3 linked regions of the Saccharomyces cerevisiae S288C genome follow. Changing the gene in region 3 together with the main gene of any one other region gives a genetic interaction. Each region holds a gene or a part of one and is shown on either strand. Other genes may lie near its edges.

Region 1 (5,944 bases), on a different chromosome or scaffold from region 3:
AATTGGATGAGGACAAAATGTGTTGTTGCAACTTTAACTACGTGAGAAAGGTGAAAGTAAGGTATTAGAAGAGAGGACACAAGAGTTATAATATCAGTAACTTTCGAAGTGGGTATCTCACATGGTTTTGATTGGGGTTCTCGATTGTTTTGCCCCCCTGGTTTATTCATTTTTCATAACAATGCCAAGAACCGTTTTTAGGTTTGATTTCTCAGTTCCCTTGCGTTTCTTTCTCTGGAAATTTCATGATAGAATTACAAATTTGGATATGCTTGTTAGTATATGATACAATGATGGAGGTGAAAATCAGATGGTCCTATAAATAGTTTTTCGAAATCCATCGATGGTAGGGAACAACAAGAACAAGCACCCTCCTGTTTTTTTAAAACCCTTTCTGAAAAACACACAATTGGCTGCCCTTTCTATGTAGTGAAGAATCCTTTTGGAATATGAGCGGTACTTTAGGTGAACCTTTCAGCAATTGAAAGGATGCTGATCTTCTACTTTGAGTATTGGTGGGATTTAGGATTGCTTGATGTGTTGTTTTTACTAAATGTTGGTGGATGTTGCATGCTGTCTGGCGCATGAATCATTTGGTATTGTGTTTGAGCCGGGGGATTCATACGAGGAGCTGGCAAAATATAAATGCCATCTAGGTTCTTGTTGGTTGTGGAGGTGGTTATGTTTACATTTGGAGGATTAATAGAATCTGTGACTGGTTTTGGTTGTCGGTAATCATGCACAAGTATATGGTGTACTGGGGGCATCATTGTTGGGGCGATAGGCGCCTTAGAGTGATTGCATTCAGGACCCGACCTCGAAGAGTATGGATCGATATTTTGGTATGGTATTGGGCTCAATGTATTGGAGGAGTATATCACTGAAGGCGACACGCCACGCCGTTCATAAGGTGCTGCAGTAGGTTGTTGCGGGAGAGTATTGTATGTATTGCAGAAAATCATAGGTTGTGAGACCGTACGTCTCAATCCAGGCTGATAGTTAGGATTGTAAACACCAATTGGTTGTGGCTGGTGCTGCATATACGGGAGAGGTAATTTATTCTGTTCATCTATGGGTAAGAGATATTGTTGCTGTTGTCGGTGCTGCTGTTGGTGCATTTCTCGAGGAGCGTTATTGAAGGTGGTTAAAGGTAACTGAACTGCGGTCCTAACTGGAATATTTCCAGGATGGTTGTTATAATTGCTCAAGAGATCACAATAGCTCGGAGAAGATGATAAAGACCTGCGCGTTTTATAATTATGAGCTTTGGTTCTGCCTCTCTCATTATTTTTAGACGGGTTAGATCTGCCATTTCCTACAGCAACTTTTTGTAAAGCATCTAATAGTTTCTGTGAAGGTCGAAATTTATGGAAGAAAGGATTTTCTGAAGGTCTCCTCAAACTTCCTTGATGAATATCCTTTTCCGTATAGTACGCAATAAGATGAAATGTTTCCAGCTTAGTGCTGTCGGTGGGATCCATATTGAATTTTAGAGAAAATGTTTTTTTCAGTAGTCCAGTATAAAAATACTTCCTATGAGCCCTCTCGAAGATATTATACTCAGGTACATTATGCAGCGGTAGATCGTGCGTGGAACCCAGCCTATTATACTCTCTATATACGAGAAATTTGCCTGAAATTCTTGAAGGAGACCAAGAAAAACCATCTGTCCATCTTTTGATGCCGGATTTCTCTTCGTTGAAAACAAAAATGTTTCCGGGGTTGACTAATTCAACCTTTTCTGCATCATATGGCCTCCGTTCGATGCATCTCAAATTTCCATTGAATACGCCCTGGAAAACAAGGGCTAGATCTTGCTCGTCGTCGATGTACCCATAACAGGTAGGGCTGATATCCATCATTCTTACGCTTACTCGTCGATCTCCTTTTCCTATCTATTGTTTGATTAATTATCTTAATTCGTGGTTCCCTTTTTTCTCGCTTTATTTGTTTGTTTTGTTGAAGAAGGGCTTACAAGAATGTACGTATTAAATAATAATTCATACAAATAAACAGGGAATGATACATAGTAGTTCTCCCGCAGCAGCTACGTATGAATTACCCGCCTACCCGGTACTATAAAGAAAGAATAAGTGGGCGTCGATTATGAAGATTTACTAACTGCAATTATCATTTTTTTGATTTTCCTCAGTCCCTTAGGTGCGTTTTTGTGTTAATGCCTATTTTTTTTTTCTAGGCTTTCTTCTTCACTTCCTCTTTCCTCTTGAATTTTGAGGAATATACGACCGAGAAAAAGACAGACTACTTAAAAAGTTGCCAGAGTGATTAAAGTTCCGGGAACAAGGCTAAAATACGTTTACAACATATTCTTCCTTTTTTTTCCACATAAAAAGGTTAATAGTCATAGTCATATGTTAGCGTGATTTCAACTTAAAATTAGAGATTATTAGATAATTTTTTTTTAAATGACGGCCAAGAAAGTGAAAGTCTAAAAGGAACGTTTATCGCTTAATTTCTCTCTGCCTCAGATTCATACGTTGTTAAGATCTTTAAAAGGATGGCCTTTGCAGGATACTGAGGTTTATGCTGGCGCGCCTGTGCGGATTTTCCAGATTCAAAAAGAAAGTTTTCTTTTTTTTTTACATGGGAACTGCGTAGCCGCGAAGCACTGCAGGCCTTTCAGAGCAATTTTTGGCGCTGCCTTTTAAAAACTTACATTAAGGTTCGCTATTGCCGAAACGGAAGAGGCGGAAATTTAAGTATTCGTTAATTTTACGGTGGCGGTACGGTATATTCTGCGTAAGCAATCTGCGGACGGCCGGATTATTAATCAATGTTTGAAAAAAAAAGATAGCAGAAGTGAAGATTTCTTATTTTAACAGCGATAAGGTATATACATGAGGGAAACGAAATATTAAGCGGCACAATATGTGTTTTTTCTATACAAGTACATTCCTTTTTACGTTAAGTATGTGGCGCCGGAAGGAAGTATGGTGCTTTTTTTTTCTTTAGGGCTTGTGCGTGTTCCGCTAGAAGCACATTTCTTTCTTCTTTGTCTGTATAACTACTGTTTCTTAGATCGATCAGTCTATCATCCCATACAACTGGTTCGAAATGACCGACCCTACGTGGAATGCTATTCAGTAGTTCCTGTAGTTCTGCATAGTATTCCAGGTCCTTTCCCTTTGGGAAGTTGTGCGTTCCGCAGGCATTAGAGTCGAAAGTTGTAGTTATCGGTAAGCTTTTACAGAATACTTCGACCATAATAGCCGCCTGTAGTTCCGACAACGGGAACGGGATGACCAACTGCGGGGTCAAGATAAAGGACAGCGTAGGATCTTTTACATAGATCATGTGCTCCCACAAATTGTGCAGATTGACAGACGAGTGCTTGTCGCCAGTAACACCCTCACCTAGCACTTCCAGTCTAACGGAGGGCTCTATAAATGGAAAGCTGTAATAATAGCCTGTGGCGAAAATAATGTAGTCTATATTCTGAAGTACTCTTCCATCAGATAAAGTAACTGAACGATTTTTCCAATCGGCACTGTCTATTGTTTGGACAGTCTCGATTAACTTGGCCTTCAGTTGATTGCTCGCAGGCTCTTTTATACTATTATATACTTTCTTTGCAACGGTAGTTAGTTGGTTGGCAATATCTTGGCCGGAACTGCCGTTTCCCACCACAATAACGACTTTTTCACGGGCAAACTCGCAGTTTTTGAAATCCTTAGAATGAAAGGCGCCCTTATTGTCGAACCATAGATCGAGACCTGCGATATTAGTTGGTAGTTTAGGGACACTGTAGTGACCAGACGCAACAATAACGAAGTCAAAATCCGATTTAGTAGTCCTTAGTTCGTCTTTAGATGTTATCTCCCATTGAGAGTTCTTCTTCTTTAAGTAGGTAACTTCGGTGCTGAAATGGATGCTGATAGCATCTTTGTTGGCAATGAACGTTTTGTAATAGGCTTTCAAGTATTCCCAAATGTTTCTTCGAGACGGATATAAAGGGACGTTTTCCTCGAAGGGAAAGCCGCTAAACTGCATTAACTTCTTTGATATATTGGTTTCCAAATGGTCATACATGACCCTCCCATCACTTTTTTGTTCTGGATAATGCCAGACACCGCCAATATCGTAATCCTTTACAAATATTTCTATTTCAAAATTTGGAAGACTTTGCGAGAAAACTCTTGCAGCTGCCAACCCTCCTGGCCCCCCACCTATGATTGCCAATCTTTTTTTGTCATTCACTGTCATGCCTAGTTACTTCTTGTTATTTCTCGCTTCCTGCTTGAATTTTCTGTATTATTGTATTTTCGACTTGTATAAAAACAGTGGCCCATTTAAATACAGTCCCAAATAACGACTGCGTTTTTGCAGTGGCATTTATCCTTGATATGAGGCTACAGGATTATCTTGCATAATGGCTTTTCTCGGCAAAAAGATGTCTGGCGCTTCCTATGTAAAGGTAATATCATGTGATTAAGAGTGAAAAGAGGAATTTAAAAGGTAGAAAAGGGTTCATGGAATCTTTCATAAAGCAGAACATTAATACTTGCCGCGTTGAAATGAGGTGCGATTTCGTGTTGTGGACGGGACATTAAATTCATCACTTATATAATTAAATATAACGTTATAGTAGATCGTCTCAAAACGGTATAACAACCCGCGCCCACCCTTAAATAGTATTACTTTTGTTCAAGATTAGCTCGAATGGTCGCTGGCAAACTGTTGAAGAACTAGATCGTTTCATGATTAACATCTTGGCGACGCAGAAGTTAATGATATAGAAATAGTGGACTATTTTGATTACTGAGGCTGTAGCCAATAAACGATAACATAAAGGGGGGGATATATAAACTTGTGTCAAAGACTAGTAACGTACGAGTGCTAAATATTATACATGTAATGTTAACGTAGTTTATCATTATACTCAGTGGGAACAAATAAAGGGAAGGGTATGAATGAGGAAGAAATACGAAAAATCCCGGATAAAAACAAAATAGATACAAATAGTATCAAATTTGTAATATTTGTCACCATCTTAATGGCAGGCGAGGGAGCTGTCATCTATCTCAGGACTATACGAAGTACACCAGCTGTAATTACCCCATATTGCCCCACACACGACAGCTAACATTAACCAACCATTATAAGTCATGAATACAAGCATGAGCATGAATGAGAATCCCACTTGCAAACCATATAGAATACTATTGGACACTTTGTCGGCTTGGTTGATCTTGGTCAGAGATCTATTTGGTAACAATACTCTCTGGGATAATTGTCTCTTATGGACACAGTACTTTAAGTACTCATAGAGGTAGGCTAGACCAAAAATTGCTAAACAACTTAAAATCAGTCCAGGCAGGGTCTTGATATGCCACCATTCAAAGACGACACACGTATTCTTGTATGACCACGAAAATAGCATATTCATCGAACAGGTATCATCTCCATCTCCCATATGCATATCACTGTGGTCGTGGCCCGCATTTCCTTCCATCTTGTGATTCATGCTATCCATCTTTTTTGAGTATCCAATTAACGAAGACGTTACCAGCTGATTGAAGGTTCTCAAAGTGACTGTACTCCATGTTTTCTTATCATCCATGTAGTTATTTTTCAAACTGCAAATTCAAGAAAAAGCCACGCGTGTGCACCTTTTTTTTCCCCTTCCAGTGCATTATGCAATAGACAGCACGAGTCTTTGAAAAAGTAACTTATAAAACTGTATCAATTTTTAAACCTAAATAGATTCATAAACTATTCGTTAATATAAAGTGTTCTAAACTATGATGAAAAAATAAGCAGAAAAGACTAATAATTCTTAGTTAAAAGCACTTTACAACTTGTCACCGTGGTGGAAGTTTTCACCGGCGTAGACAGCCTTGTCACCCAATTCTTCTTCGATTCTCAACAATTGGTTCAACTTAGCCAATCTTTCGGATCTAGCTGGAGCACCAGTCTTGATTTG
Region 2 (6,422 bases), on a different chromosome or scaffold from region 3:
GAACAGGTTACGTGATAAGTGGCATTTAGAGGATACGCTTTCGCATGAATTAATTCATTATTTCGATGATCTAAAATGGCAAATAGATTGGTTAAATCTGAAGCATCATGCATGTTCTGAAATCAGAGCCTCTTCGTTAAGTGGGGAATGCAGGTTTTGGGAAGAGTTCAAGAGAAGAGGGTTTAGGACAGGATTCCATGTGGCAAGGGGACACCAAGATTGTGTTAGAAGGAGGGCAATAATTAGTGTTTCGGGGAACCCCAACTGCCAAAGCAAAGAACATGCAGCAAAAATTGTAGATGAAGTTTGGGACAGTTGCTTCGCCGATACGAGACCGTTTGATGAGATTTACAGATGAACCAATGTAATAAATGACAATATTCTATAATAGAAAATATATAGACGCTTGTAAATAATAAAAAAAAAAAAAAAAAAAAAAAAAAGTAAAAAAAAATTTACTATAAAGATTTAATAGCTCCACAGAACAGTTGCAGGATGCCTTAGAATGTCAAGTACAACGTACACATGACACTTGGTCCCATGCAGATACCGAGCCAGAAAATAACATTTCCGATTATGGTTCTGTTCCTCATGAATTTAGTATTTGTTAAAGCTACTAATGGCATTTGCAGCATTTGGAAGAAGAACAAGTAAAACCTCAATTTCTTGAAGATAACGTACATTGCTAATTCATGAACGACGGAACTTAAGAAAAAGGTCATCAAAGTTGCTTGACTCTTGTTCAATTTGAATGAACTCATTGAACTATGGTAAACATGTCTTAACAAAAACTTATGCACTGGGATGTTCCAAATTCTACTGAAGTCTGCCCAACTAACACAATTCCACCAGTCACCGTAGAAATATCTGTCGCCAAATCTTGTCAATTCAGCCACACAGTTCAAAATGGCATCCCAAATCAAATAGAAGTCCAAGATGTACATCACGATAAACCCTGGGACGATATCAACGAGCAATCCAACCCATTTCAATAATCTATCCAATATACCAGTCCATTCAGAATTGCGCACAGCCAATGCTCTCATTGCTACAGGATACATCAAGATTTGAGCATCTATCATCATTAAGAAAATGGTACCGAAGATGGCGCAGATCTTTTCTAATACGTAGCTCCATCTGATTTCCTTAGTTCTTGGATATTCAATTTGGTAAATTAGGGTTGGAAACATGGTGAACCAAAAAAAGCTTTTTGCACTGATATTGTTGGGGAATTTTTGAGTTTGGTCGCTTAAAGACTGAGAGCTCAATTCAAAACTACAAAACTCACAGCTTTTCTCAAGAGCACCAATAACTTTTGGATCATTTATAGAATCCTTGTATTTGGCAAGAGCGCTTTTGGAAAATTGTAGTTCTTCCTTTATACCCCATAGATAGCCATTGTAGAAGGCGAAAGAATGCATTTTCATCAATAAAACTAAAGAATGCAAAAAAAGGAAGATCTTGGACAGCCAGTGTAGTTTTAGGATGTTTTCTGTTAAATACATGTAGAAGATAACAAACAAAAACTCGTAAATTGAGGTGAAGATCCAGCCGGTAGTGCCCCATTTCAAGACCCCCCACTTGCATAAGTATTGTATTCCAACGACAAAATAAGTGCTCAAATACATCAAAAGATCTACGGATGCCACAGTGAACAAATTCGTAGTCATAAATTTCAAGATCTCCGAATCCTTGAAGCTACCATTATGCTGGTAATAATAGTCTATTAAAGCCTTGACAGCACCAAATGCAATAGCCATCCAAAACGCCACGTACAACCCGGAGAAATTGGATGAAATTATGGTGGTTTCAACGGTGACCACCGTTTCTGAGGTGGCGGCAGTTGGAACAGTAGTTGGGGCGGCGCCATCATTTTTCCCTACTGAGTCGACAGCATCTGGGGAGGACTTGCGGTGGTGTAAATTTTTGCGCATGGCCATTAGCTCTTTCTCCCTTCTTCTGATCTCCTTTTCTAAAGTAGGTCCCACGAATTTGGTCTTGAAGGGCTCGTTAACTGACCCATCTAATATACTGGGCCTGTGTTCAAATGACATATCATCGAAATACGATATAAAGTTAGAGGACCCTTGCCTATACCGTGCCTTCTCTTTGGAGCTTAAAGTCTTCACATGGGTCTTGAACATGTTATCATCGGTCTCAATCACTTCTTCAGTTACAATCTCTGTATTGCCTTCGGTAGCAGTTCCTGGGATGAATGCGACGTCTCCGTTTGAGGCCACCACGCTGTGATTCTGTGTAATTGTGGTAGCTGTGTGTTCATTGGCTGGTGAGTTGCCGGAGGTGTCTAACCCATATAGTTCGCCCTCGTCGTCCACTGTTATAGATTGTCTTTTGCCCGCATCGGCAGCGTTGAGCTTTTGGATGCGGAGAAATTGTTCGTTCTCCAGTAGATCCTTCTTCTTGTCCATGGTTGTGTTTGTTATTGTTGCTTTTGCTAACGTAATGTGTCTGTTTACTTCTTGTCTAGGTGGCAATACCAGAATTAATAGCGGCTAATTTTCGTCCCCTCTTATAGATTCCGGGAAAAAAGAAGGCTTAATAATATTACAAAGAAACTGTTGGAATTTTTCCGGTTATTGCGCGAGAAGCCGTTAAATGTTAACTCCGCGGGACCGACAAGAGCGATATAAAGTTTAGCATTCACGTGTAACTGCAATGAATAGTTTTAGTTGTTTTCAAAAAATTTCAGTATGTTTTTGTATTGGTTTATCTATATATTCGAATATATAGATGTATTGATGAAAGGAATTTTATAAAAGACGAGGAGCGGAAATAAAGTTGAGGCAGATAAACCGACGAGGTTTACGACTTGAAGATCTTGGAGTTTATTCTTTCTTCGTTAGAAACGTAGCCGGTCCTTCTTCCCTCTTTCTCGAGTCTCTCTTCCTCTTCGGCGACCCTCAGTGCGTTTTCCCAGCGGCGCATTTCGTTGACCTTTTGTTTGTTAGGATGTAACTTATTCTCGTACATGCTCAAACCAACGGAGGCCAGCAGCAGCCCGACGGTAATGAATTGAGCGTACATTCTTGCCTGCACGATCTTCTGAGCTTTGGTCATGATGGGGTCTTTGTTCACGATTACCCACGACCCATACAGCGAAGCGGCCCAGGCACCGGTGATGATCTTATACTTGTTATTAGATAGACCTTCGACAAACTTGTCCTTTGTACTCAAACTCTTCCATCTTCTGTGCTCATCTAGTGCGTCTTCCGAGGAGGAACCGGATCCGTACATTGTAGCGTCGAAATTGTTCGAGGCCTCCTCCGCACATATAGCAGTCAAGACCGTGGGAGGGGTGATCCAAAGGGCGGTTTTTATGGACCATGTTAGAGTCGAAGGCTTGAATTTTGGGTACCTTCTTGGTAGGACTTTGAAAATTATAGCAGAGATTGCAAATCCGGCAAGGGCACCTTCAATACCACCTTTTAGCGTATGTGAGCGATGAGCTTCAATTTCGTCTTGGGTTAAAATCTTCATTGTGCGATGTTGGTGAGTATCGGTGCACTTGTCAAGAGTTTTTTCAAGCTAAAGACGTAGTAAAGAGTGTTTATATAATAGAACATTCTTTCCAGGTTAAACGACAAAAAACAAAAGATGGTTAGGTTAAAAGGGAAATAAGAAAGAGCATTCTTTTCTTTTTTTTGTATATTTTACCATTGTTTGGTTGTAGGAAGCAAGGGTTGAGGCCTAGACGGCGCAGTTTTTTGCGGGTTCTTTGCTGCTGTTATCTCGGTCAGGTGTTGATCGTTAGCAGCTATTTAGCGTGAGGTGTACAGAGGCCGCAGGGCTTTGTGCTGCTTCCAAGCAGGTCTTGCCGGGCGAATCGGTGGGCCGGGACGGCTCTGACAGTTTCGGGAAATACCCGAGAGTGAGCGGTTTGTTTTACTTTAATTGGCCATCGAAAACAATAGCTTAACAGTACAAAAGGCAAATAACATACAAGTAGTTGTATATATGTACATATCTACACATACATGCGCTCTTTCCATCTTTTTTTTTTGTTTTTTTAGATCTTTTCTCCGGGTTTCTACTTTCATTGGTTTGTTTTCTGCGTTACGTACTATTATTTTTCAAATGCTATATACAAGCGCCATCAGTGCATGGGGGAAAAGCGAAGAGGGAGAGAGAGAGAGAAAGAGAGAGAGAGAGTAGGTTCTTGTGTTGCTCATTTTTCAAGTAGTCTTTTCTTGACACTACACCAGACGGCGCACGCAGCGGCCACCATTGCCGAGGAATAACCCATGGGTTTCAAACCTTTTGAAGACTTGAACAAAGCGCCCGTGAGGGCCCCAGCGCCAATGGAGCCCGCGGTGTCATGTTTGCCTCTTAGTGCATCTATTGTAGAATTGATGATATTGTAGCTCAACGCGAGAATCCCCGCATTATTACCTAAGAAGGGACCTCTCTTAGTAATGTGATTCAGGACGGTGTTCAATTGCAATTTTCCGGGACTATTGGGCGGAATATTCTGCAGACCCTGCATCATACCAGAAAACCCTCCGATACCAAGTCCCAGCAGGTAGACGGCACCGGTACCGTAACATAGGTCATCGGTCCACCCACGGGAAGGGATCAGACCCTGTGAGCCTTCTAACGAGGATAGTTGTTCTTCTTCCAGATCTAAATACTCCACACCCTTGTCTAGACCAGCCAAAGGATGCAGCCTAGCGGTGTCGACATGCATTCCACCAGGACCTGATATTATGTTATTGATGTTTGGCTCGAAACCTAAACTCTGCTTCAACGATAGTTCCTTAGGCTTGGTTGTATCTTGGCCGCCCACGGCAGCATTCGCATCATCGGTAGGTGTCTTATCTCCAAAAAGCCACGACATGATTGTGTGTGATCTGTTAAACAAGTATACCTATATTATCTTGGTTATTTTTTTTTTTTCTATCTGCTTTTGTTAACGCTATAACGTGTAGTATGTACAGGCAAAGAGAGTAGAAGAGGAAAATGGTCTTTTTTTTTTTTTTTTCTGCAATGGAGGGCGAATGCAATAACCTATTATTTCTATTAATTAAACGCAACAAATGTTTCCCTTTTGCTCTACGTAAAGGTTCCTTTCTCTCTTTTTTTTGTCGGTGTCTTTTTTTTTTCAGTATTTTCTCTTTTTTTCAATGAATCGTCGATTTCCTTTTCTTCCTTTTGCGATTAAATTATTTTTACCCAGCTTTAGCAAGCCAGTTCGTACGCAGCGACTAGCAAACAGCCGGGTAACTCACATTTTGTTTGCACACTTAAAATACCCATACAGAACCATTATATATGTTGGGTTGAATTGGGACCTAATGTGCTGCTCAGGTGCCGCGTATATCATGACACTTATACTTGGTGGGGAATCGCCCGTCAGGCCTGAACGCAACGAACCCGCGCATGCATCGACGTCACAGTGAGCTCAGGCCGCATCACGGCCGTTACGCCCTCCAGAGTCACCACGACTGCGACTAGTATCATCCGTCAAGAAGAACAAGAACAAGAACAAGAACAAGAACAACAAACTCCGGGCACATCTCTCGGCTTCAGTCGCTTTCGCTCATTGCCTGTAGGTTGGCCCGATATGCGTTGACGTTATCCAAAGGGGAATGCTTCATCTTGTTGAACAACGCCCAACAATTTCCACTGCCCACCGAATCGTTGCGCCCGTTAAAATCTTCACATGGCCCGGCCGCGCGCGCGTTGTGCCAACAAGTCGCAGTCGAAATTCAACCGCTCATTGCCACTCTCTCTACTGCTTGGTGAACTAGGCTATACGCTCAATCAGCGCCAAGATATATAAGAAGAACAGCACTCCCAGTCGTATTCTGGCACAGTATAGCCTAGCACAATCACTGTCACAATTGTTATCGGTTCTACAATTGTTCTGCTCTCTTCAATTTTCCTTTCCTTATTCTACTCTTTTTATCCCTTTCGTACAGTTTACCTGAAGATAAAAAACAACAAAGCCAATTCCCTAATTTGCAATCGCCATTTGCATCTATATATATATATTTGTTGTGCCATTTTTTTATCCTCTGTGAGTGATCGGTGCATGTGTTTATAAAAGTTTATTCATTCTACTATACGAACTTTTCCCTCTGCCCTTCCCTCCCGCTTCATCCTTATTTTTGGACAATAAACTAGAGAACAATTTGAACTTGAATTGGAATTCAGATTCAGAGCAAGAGACAAGAAACTTCCCTTTTTCTTCTCCACATATTATTATTTATTCGTGTATTTTCTTTTAACGATACGATACGATACGACACGATACGATACGACACGCTACTATACTATACAAATATAATAGTATAATAACCGATTCGTCTTCTAGCTTAATTTTTTTCCGTTCCCGAAACAGCGCAGAAAATTAGAAAAAATCAAGTTTCTACCATGAGCGAAGAAAGCTTATTCGAGTCTTC
Region 3 (8,290 bases):
TTTTGATGAATACAAAAGAAGAAAACACTAGACTTTTCTTTGATGTTTACATTATGTCTATGATGCTAAGTAATTGGGCACTCTCCCCTCGATATGTGGGACAGCGAAACCTCATACATTGCACCACTTTATTTCACACACTTACACGATGGGCAAAAGACGCAGACGATAAATATCATGATATAAACTCAATGTATGAAAACATGTTTACACCTTCAAATGATAACGTTTCAATTTTGCAGGATGAAGGTAAATCTGATTATGATACGACGAAGGCCAGCTCTATGGAAGAAGATATCAGTGCTTTTAATAAAGACTTGTACAATTTCTATAATATTGGATATGCCAAACAGATCATGTCTGCTTCACAATTGGAAAATATAGTAAAGGCAAAGGGCAGATTTGTTATACAAAGTTTATCCACCAGTCCTTATTATAATTTGGCCCTTGAAAACTATGTTTTCAAGAATACACCAAGAGCCAAAAGAGGTCCCGATAATTGCAGACTGTTATTTTACATCAATGATAGGTGCGCCGTTATAGGCAAAAACCAAAATCTGTGGCAGGAAGTAGATCTTGCTAAGCTGAAGAGTAAGAATTTCGAACTACTTAGAAGATTTTCTGGAGGTGGCACTGTACTGCATGATTTGGGCAATGTTAATTATTCATATTTAACATCAAGGGAGAAATTCGAAACAAAGTTTTTCAACAAAATGATAATTAAGTGGTTAAATTCATTGAATCCCGAACTAAGACTAGATTTGAATGAGAGAGGAGATATTATTCAGGACGGGTTTAAAATTAGTGGCAGTGCTTATAAAATTGCCGGTGGCAAAGCATACCATCATGCAACGATGTTGCTTAATGCGGATTTAGAACAGTTTAGCGGCTTATTAGAACCCTCACTACCGAACAATATGGAATGGGAGTCAAGTGGAGTTCATAGTGTAAAATCAAAAATCAAAAATGTTGGTATAATTACTCCTAATCAGTTCATTGCAGTGGTATCCGAGCGTTTTCAGAAAACATTCAAAGTTGACGGCGAAATACCTATATATTACTGTGACGAGTTTAAATCTATAAACGATGAGATTAAAGATGCTATGAACACCTTACAGAGCGAACAATGGAAATATTTCTCGGGGCCTAAATTTTCAGTGAAGATTAAAGATAAAGGCTTAACAATTAAAGTCGAAAAGGGCATGATTTATGATTGTGATAGAAATGATTTAATCGGCTTGGAATTCAAAGGATTTTTGGAGAATATTGACAGTTACACATAACGTTGATGAATATTTCAATTCACTTGTAAATAACGTAGGTAAATATCAAAATTAAAGTCTTTCACCGGAAACTGATTCAGCATATTTCAGCAGACGCGTCCTAGATTCACAGCAAACTTCAATATAAGCGATACATTAGGAGTGTTCGTACTTTAGATCTATAAGAACTATATTTTGTTACGATTCAGCCGTCTCTAAATGTGAACTAAATATTTATACTGTTATTTGAGAAACCGACAGATAGTACTTAATTTTATCGATCATCTAAGAATAGCATCGGTATTGTGGTGACATTTATTGAATTTCTTCCGCTCCAGAATAAAGTTCCTTTTCACTTCAAAAAACTGCCACCAGTAAAGTTGCACCAGTGGTTTTTGAGCATTTTTTGTCAATGTCGCTTAACCGTTCTTGAACTGTATCCTCTTGACGTCGATAAAATCATTTGTAAAAACCAGGCCAAATCATCATTGAATAATTTACACTGTGTCTTCAATGTCGCCATTTGGACCAATAATTATCAAACTGTTCACAATTCACTCAAAGTCCTTTCAGCAACATTCTTATGAAACAATACTTTCTTTGAATTTGTATGATGAAACAAAATTTTTTGGTTATTAATCATTTATCACTCTCGGTAGCCAAGTTGGTTTAAGGCGCAAGACTGTAATTTACCACTACGAAATCTTGAGATCGGGCGTTCGACTCGCCCCCGGGAGATTTTTTTAATGTGCTCTAAATAGAATGTGGATGAAATTTCTCTTGGCCGCCGTACCCTTCTTCATAATTAATAATTTCTTTCCATTTTGCAGGATTATATCTGATCAATAAGTGATTGTAAAGATTTTGTTTGTGAGAAATATGTGAATTTTTAATTTTGGTTATAACTTAATAATTGTTGGAATTCCATTTTTGATAAAGATGAAAATTGGTGAATTTTGAGATAATTGTTGGGATTCCATTGTTGATAAAGGCTATAATATTAGGTATACAGAATATACTAGAAGTTCTCCTCGAGGATCTAGGAATCCTCATAATGGAACCTATATTTCTATATACTAATATTCCGTTTTATTCCTTATTCCGTTTTATATGTTTCATTATCCTATTACATTATCAATCCTTGCACTTCAGCTTCCTCTAACTTCGATGACAGCTTCTCATAACTTATGCCATCATCTTAGCACCATATATGATAATATATTGGTAGTATGACTACTAGTTGATAGACTGAAGAGAATGTGGATTTTGATGTAATTGTTGGGATTCCATTTTTAATAAGGCAATAATATTAGGTATGTAGATATACTAGAAGTTCTCCTCGAGGATTTAGGAATCCATAAAAGGGAATCTGCAATTCTATACAATTCTATAAATATTATTATCATCATTTTATATGTTAATATTCATTGATCCTATTACATTATCAATCCTTGCGTTTCAGCTTCCACTAATTTAGATGACTATTTCTCATCATTTGCGTCATCTTCTAACACCGTATATGATAATATACTAGCAACGTAAATACTAGTTAGTAGATGATAGTTGATTTTTATTCCAACATAGACGATAGTTGATTTTTATTCCAACAGTGTTGACATATAAATACTAGTCAACTAAATGGTAATTGGTTATTATTCCTCAACATTCTGCTACCAAACGCAAATGTAGTAGGAGAGTTTAGATTTTCAACGTTGGTTTGCGAGATTGGTGAAATCAAAGCATAGTTTACCTTTAATCCCAATCTTCCAACAAACAGTAGCTCGCGTGGCGTAATGGCAACGCGTCTGACTTCTAATCAGAAGATTATGGGTTCGACCCCCATCGTGAGTGCTTTGTTTCTTCCGTGATAGTTTAATGGTCAGAATGGGCGCTTGTCGCGTGCCAGATCGGGGTTCAATTCCCCGTCGCGGAGATTTTTTTTGAAGCTGTTGTAGTTACTACTTTAAGATCCAGATTGATACAGTACGTATGTGAGGCAACAGATACTTGCAATATAACAAGTTTTGTGAAGAGATAGTGTGAATACCTATGGTTCCACGCAAGAAATCATCTATTTGAATTTTCGGCTTCTATAAGAATGACAAAACTCATAGGAAGCTGCAATGCATTAATTTTCCGTAAGCTTTATTAACCCGTTAGCCGCTCAAGTCGCTTTTCTCAGGTCGCGCTCCTCTTCTCCGGACTTATGTGGCTCCCTTTAGAATATAAGGGTCTTCCCTTTAACGGAACAGTAAGGTTCCACAAGGTGGCAAAAAAGGCAATCCAACCGACACTTCGGCAAATTTCTTTCACTCTAGTCAGAGCTAAGTTCTTATATATACTTTCTAAATAATTATCTGCTAAAATAAGAAAAGAAGGAGCCTAAATACGTATATCTATATACATGTATACACGTGAGCTAATAAATTATGTTATCTTTGAAAAAAGGAATAACAAAATCATACATCTTGCAAAGAACTTTCACTTCTTCCTCTGTTGTTCGTCAAATTGGGGAAGTGAAATCTGAATCGAAACCGCCGGCCAAATATCATATTATCGACCATGAATATGATTGTGTGGTGGTAGGCGCTGGCGGTGCAGGTTTAAGAGCAGCTTTCGGTTTGGCTGAAGCTGGATACAAGACTGCTTGTTTATCCAAGTTGTTTCCAACAAGGTCACATACTGTGGCTGCTCAGGGTGGAATTAATGCTGCGCTGGGAAATATGCATCCAGATGATTGGAAATCGCACATGTACGACACTGTCAAGGGTTCTGACTGGCTCGGAGACCAAGATGCAATCCATTACATGACAAGAGAAGCACCTAAGTCTGTCATTGAACTAGAACATTACGGTATGCCCTTTTCGAGGACTGAAGATGGAAGGATTTACCAGAGAGCATTTGGGGGACAATCCAAAGATTTTGGTAAAGGTGGACAGGCCTATAGGACTTGTGCGGTGGCAGATAGAACAGGTCACGCAATGCTTCATACATTGTATGGACAAGCGCTGAAAAATAATACACACTTCTTTATTGAATACTTTGCAATGGATTTGTTGACCCATAATGGCGAGGTTGTGGGTGTCATTGCCTATAATCAGGAGGACGGTACAATTCACAGATTCAGAGCACATAAGACCGTCATCGCGACAGGCGGATACGGTAGAGCTTACTTCTCTTGCACTTCTGCTCACACTTGTACAGGTGACGGTAATGCTATGGTTTCTCGCGCTGGATTTCCACTAGAGGATTTAGAATTTGTTCAATTTCATCCGTCAGGAATTTATGGGTCTGGCTGCCTAATCACTGAAGGTGCCCGTGGTGAGGGTGGATTTTTATTGAATTCTGAAGGAGAAAGGTTTATGGAACGCTATGCTCCTACTGCCAAGGACTTGGCAAGCAGGGATGTTGTTTCCAGAGCAATCACCATGGAAATCAGGGCTGGCAGAGGTGTCGGGAAAAACAAGGATCATATCCTTTTACAATTAAGCCATCTACCACCTGAGGTACTAAAGGAAAGGCTACCGGGAATATCTGAAACAGCTGCTGTCTTTGCGGGTGTCGATGTCACCCAGGAGCCAATTCCTGTCTTGCCAACTGTCCATTATAATATGGGAGGCATTCCCACAAAATGGACTGGTGAAGCATTGACCATTGACGAGGAAACTGGAGAGGATAAGGTCATCCCAGGATTGATGGCGTGTGGTGAAGCTGCTTGCGTATCGGTTCATGGAGCGAACAGATTAGGCGCTAACTCACTACTGGATTTAGTCGTTTTCGGTCGCGCCGTTGCAAATACCATTGCTGACACATTACAGCCTGGCTTGCCTCATAAGCCATTGGCTTCAAACATCGGGCACGAGTCAATTGCTAATTTGGATAAAGTAAGAAATGCTCGCGGCTCACTGAAAACCTCTCAAATCAGGTTGAACATGCAAAGGACAATGCAAAAAGATGTTTCTGTTTTCAGGACGCAAGACACTCTAGATGAAGGTGTTAGAAATATTACTGAAGTGGACAAGACATTTGAGGATGTGCACGTTTCTGATAAGTCAATGATCTGGAATTCTGATCTCGTAGAAACTCTGGAATTGCAAAATTTACTTACTTGTGCCACACAAACGGCTGTTTCTGCTTCCAAAAGAAAGGAGTCTCGTGGTGCTCATGCGAGAGAGGACTATGCAAAAAGAGATGATGTGAATTGGAGAAAGCACACATTATCATGGCAAAAGGGGACATCAACACCTGTAAAAATCAAGTACAGGAATGTAATCGCACATACTTTAGATGAGAATGAATGCGCCCCAGTCCCTCCAGCTGTCAGATCCTATTAATTCTTATTTATTTATTTATTTATTTTGGAGGGCAAACTTATTTATTGATCTGGCAAAAATGATCTTTCCCTTTTTTCTTATTTTTCTCTCTATCTCTCTCATTGATTCTTGGTCAATAGTACTCGTTTACTGTCAACTTACACCTTATCTATTATGCTATATAATTTTATGCAAGACATTGAAGTACAATATACGTCGAGCTGCAATATGCAAAAATATCAGAGGGAAACCAGCTCATTAGGAAATATGACATGTGGGCTATCTGTTTGTTGGTGGTAGCTGGGTTTTTTTTTTTTTTTTTTTGATTTTGTCGTGCGGGTGTGCAGGCTGGGATTTCAAACAAATAACAACGAGTAATTGACAAGAAAAACTTATTGGCTTATTTTCTTTTTGTTCTTCAAAATTGTTTGCCTTACCCTCTCCCTCAGTTTGTTTTCGAGTGATTGTCTATTAGGATCAATAGTCAACTTTGCTGTTTCCATACTTAAAACATCACTAGTCTTTATGCCGAACTTCGCATTTATAAAAGTGTCGCAAATCAATCTCATATCGTCGTAATTTTTTCCATACCACAATTCACATAAATTTCCAGTGACCTTACACAGGTCTAAAAACTTTTCATCATCTTTACTGGCATCTTCCTTTTCAAAAATTTTCTTGAAATGCAAAATCAATTCAACAAATTCATCGTTATTATTCGTATGTTCATAGTCACCTTGGCTCACTAGTTCGTGAAGCTCATCGTAAATGGATAACAAAAGGGTGATGATAGTGCATGCAATGAAAATATCCAAGGGATAATTGAACGTCAGGACGTGGTCCCAAACGATTAGCACATATTTTAAGGGTAATTCTCTTAAAAATAACAACCTTGTCCATCGGATGAGCCAGATTAGGTTGGAGTGAATCAGATGGTCTACGTTTTTTTTCTTCCCGCTGCCCGTTTTTGGTGGTTGGTAAAAAACCTTTGAAAACAAGTCTGGCAAACAAATCCTAAAGATTTTCGTGAATACTCTCTTATCCCAGTTAATCAAATTTTCTTCGTTATAAAAAATCGGTTCGATTTGGTTCATTAGCTTGTTAAAGATAATCAGAACGTTTTGCAAATCGGTATTATCGAGATCTGTACCGTGATATAATTGCAGATAAATGACGCTTAATATTTCGTGGAACCCTTGTTTATACTGTAGGTGTTCGCTTTGATGTATAAGCAGGTAATTGTACAAAAGTTGTCTCATTTGAGCATGAACCTTGGGTTCCTGAAATATATCGTCAAGCATTATCCTTGAGAGGTCCAAATCTATAATTTCCAGAGTTTCCCTCAGTGTCAACGGCTTTTCATCACTTCCCTTGGACAAAGAACCTTTAGTTTTGTCATTGTCATCAGACAAGGGATGTTTTTCAACAGCCTCGACGGGAGTCAGCCTCCTGATTCCCACTGAGGAGGAAACGTTCGAGTGCAAGACCCTTTTAGGTACATTTGCATTATGATTTTCGTCATAGTTGTCGCCATCTGCCAGCATAGGCACTGGCACCAAGCCGAACTGGTTAAGGTCCAAACCTTTAAAGTTATCAGTTAACAAGCAGTTGTTGTTTTCATCACACAGAAGCAAAGCTTTCCAGAGCCAGCCTCTACTATTTTCTTTAAAGATAGAGTCATGGTAGAGTTCACCTTTCCAAATTCCCTTCTGCACCAGTTGGTCTCTTGTCTCGTAGTGGTCAATCGCCCATTGTAAGACATCCTTCATGGTTGCATAAGCGAAAAAATACAAACGCACGACAGCTAACCCTCTCTATGTATGCCAATTCTCTTGACAACTCTCCCCCATTGTTCTGAAAAAGGTAATGAAATTAAACGCTGCTGTACCGATTATGGAAAACTCAATGGAAAAATTGAAAAAAAAAAAAAAAGGAACTAGTAATGCCGTAGGAGAAGCGGGTAACATAATATCCGGTTTTCCTTTACGACCGCTTACAGGCCTAAACCAGCGCACCATCCAGTTACAATAACACTTGGAGCATGCGTACACGTGTGCGTATTCTACGGCTGGCATGGGCAAAATAAGACGTGGAATTTTTCTGTGGTCAGAACTTTGCGTCAGTAAATAATTCAAGAAAAAATAATAATTATGTCGAAAAAAAAATAGAAAAAAAAGAAAAAAAGAATACTAAAAGGTGAGTGTTCAGGAAAACCGCAAGCCATGTTTGTTGATTATTCCGGACTGGAGCGTTACACGGATATAAATGCATCTTTTGGTAAGTTGGTCAACACTTACTGCTGTTTTCAGCGCTGTGAAGCCATCAGCGAACAATTGGAGATTCTGAAAAGTCTAGTACCAAAGTGCCACGACATTGTGGCACTTACTGACGAAGACTTTGCTAGTGGCCGTACTGCCGGACTGACGCAGAAATTGTTTGCTATGGCGATGACCCTACACCAGATCACCGACTGTATCGACCTCCTGCAGAAATGCAACACCATAATACCCATCGAGATCGCCAACCCGGCTAGCTTTGAAAGCGGCGCCGCGACGGCGCCGCTACGTCAAAGCTATGCTAGGCTCTTGGATGACTGGTCCCACTACATGGGCCCATCAACGGTAAAACACACAGGCTGTACCAACCGACCCAAGTGGAGATTTCCCTGGCAACAGTCACGGACTATCATCATCCCCATGCTGTTTATTGGCGAAA

The links. A genetic interaction does not mean that the proteins touch.
Region 1: mutations in SDH9 (region 3) and ROF1 together harm fitness more than expected from each alone (negative genetic interaction), as found in Saccharomyces cerevisiae (one large-scale study listed by BioGRID).
Region 2: mutations in SDH9 (region 3) and ARE2 together harm fitness more than expected from each alone (negative genetic interaction), as found in Saccharomyces cerevisiae (2 studies listed by BioGRID).

Annotation. Positions count from the first base shown.
Region 1 is NC_001140.6:452,509-458,452, reverse strand, and holds ROF1 (Rof1p), read right to left. Parts: upstream 1,863-5,944; coding exon 501-1,862; downstream 1-500. Other genes in the region: FMO1 (N,N-dimethylaniline monooxygenase), read right to left, coding at 2,926-4,224; YHR175W-A (uncharacterized protein), read right to left, coding at 4,746-4,895; CTR2 (low-affinity Cu transporter), read right to left, coding at 5,012-5,581; phosphopyruvate hydratase ENO2, read right to left, coding at 5,813-5,944.
Region 2 is NC_001146.8:661,346-667,767, reverse strand, and holds ARE2 (sterol acyltransferase), read right to left. Parts: upstream 2,430-6,422; coding exon 501-2,429; downstream 1-500. Other genes in the region: ATP23 (putative metalloprotease), read left to right, coding at 1-358; RCF2 (Rcf2p), read right to left, coding at 2,824-3,498; protein transporter TIM23, read right to left, coding at 4,187-4,855; acetyl-CoA carboxylase ACC1, read left to right, coding at 6,394-6,422. UniProt on the Saccharomyces cerevisiae protein: Sterol O-acyltransferase that catalyzes the formation of stery esters.
Region 3 is NC_001142.9:352,333-360,622, forward strand, and holds SDH9 (succinate dehydrogenase SDH9), read left to right. Parts: upstream 1-3,691; coding exon 3,692-5,596; downstream 5,597-8,290. Other genes in the region: AIM22 (putative lipoate--protein ligase), read left to right, coding at 54-1,283; GTPase-activating protein GYP6, read right to left, coding at 5,968-7,344; YJL043W (uncharacterized protein), read left to right, coding at 7,798-8,290. UniProt on the Saccharomyces cerevisiae protein: Probable minor catalytic subunit of succinate dehydrogenase (SDH) that is involved in complex II of the mitochondrial electron transport chain and is responsible for transferring electrons from succinate to ubiquinone (coenzyme Q).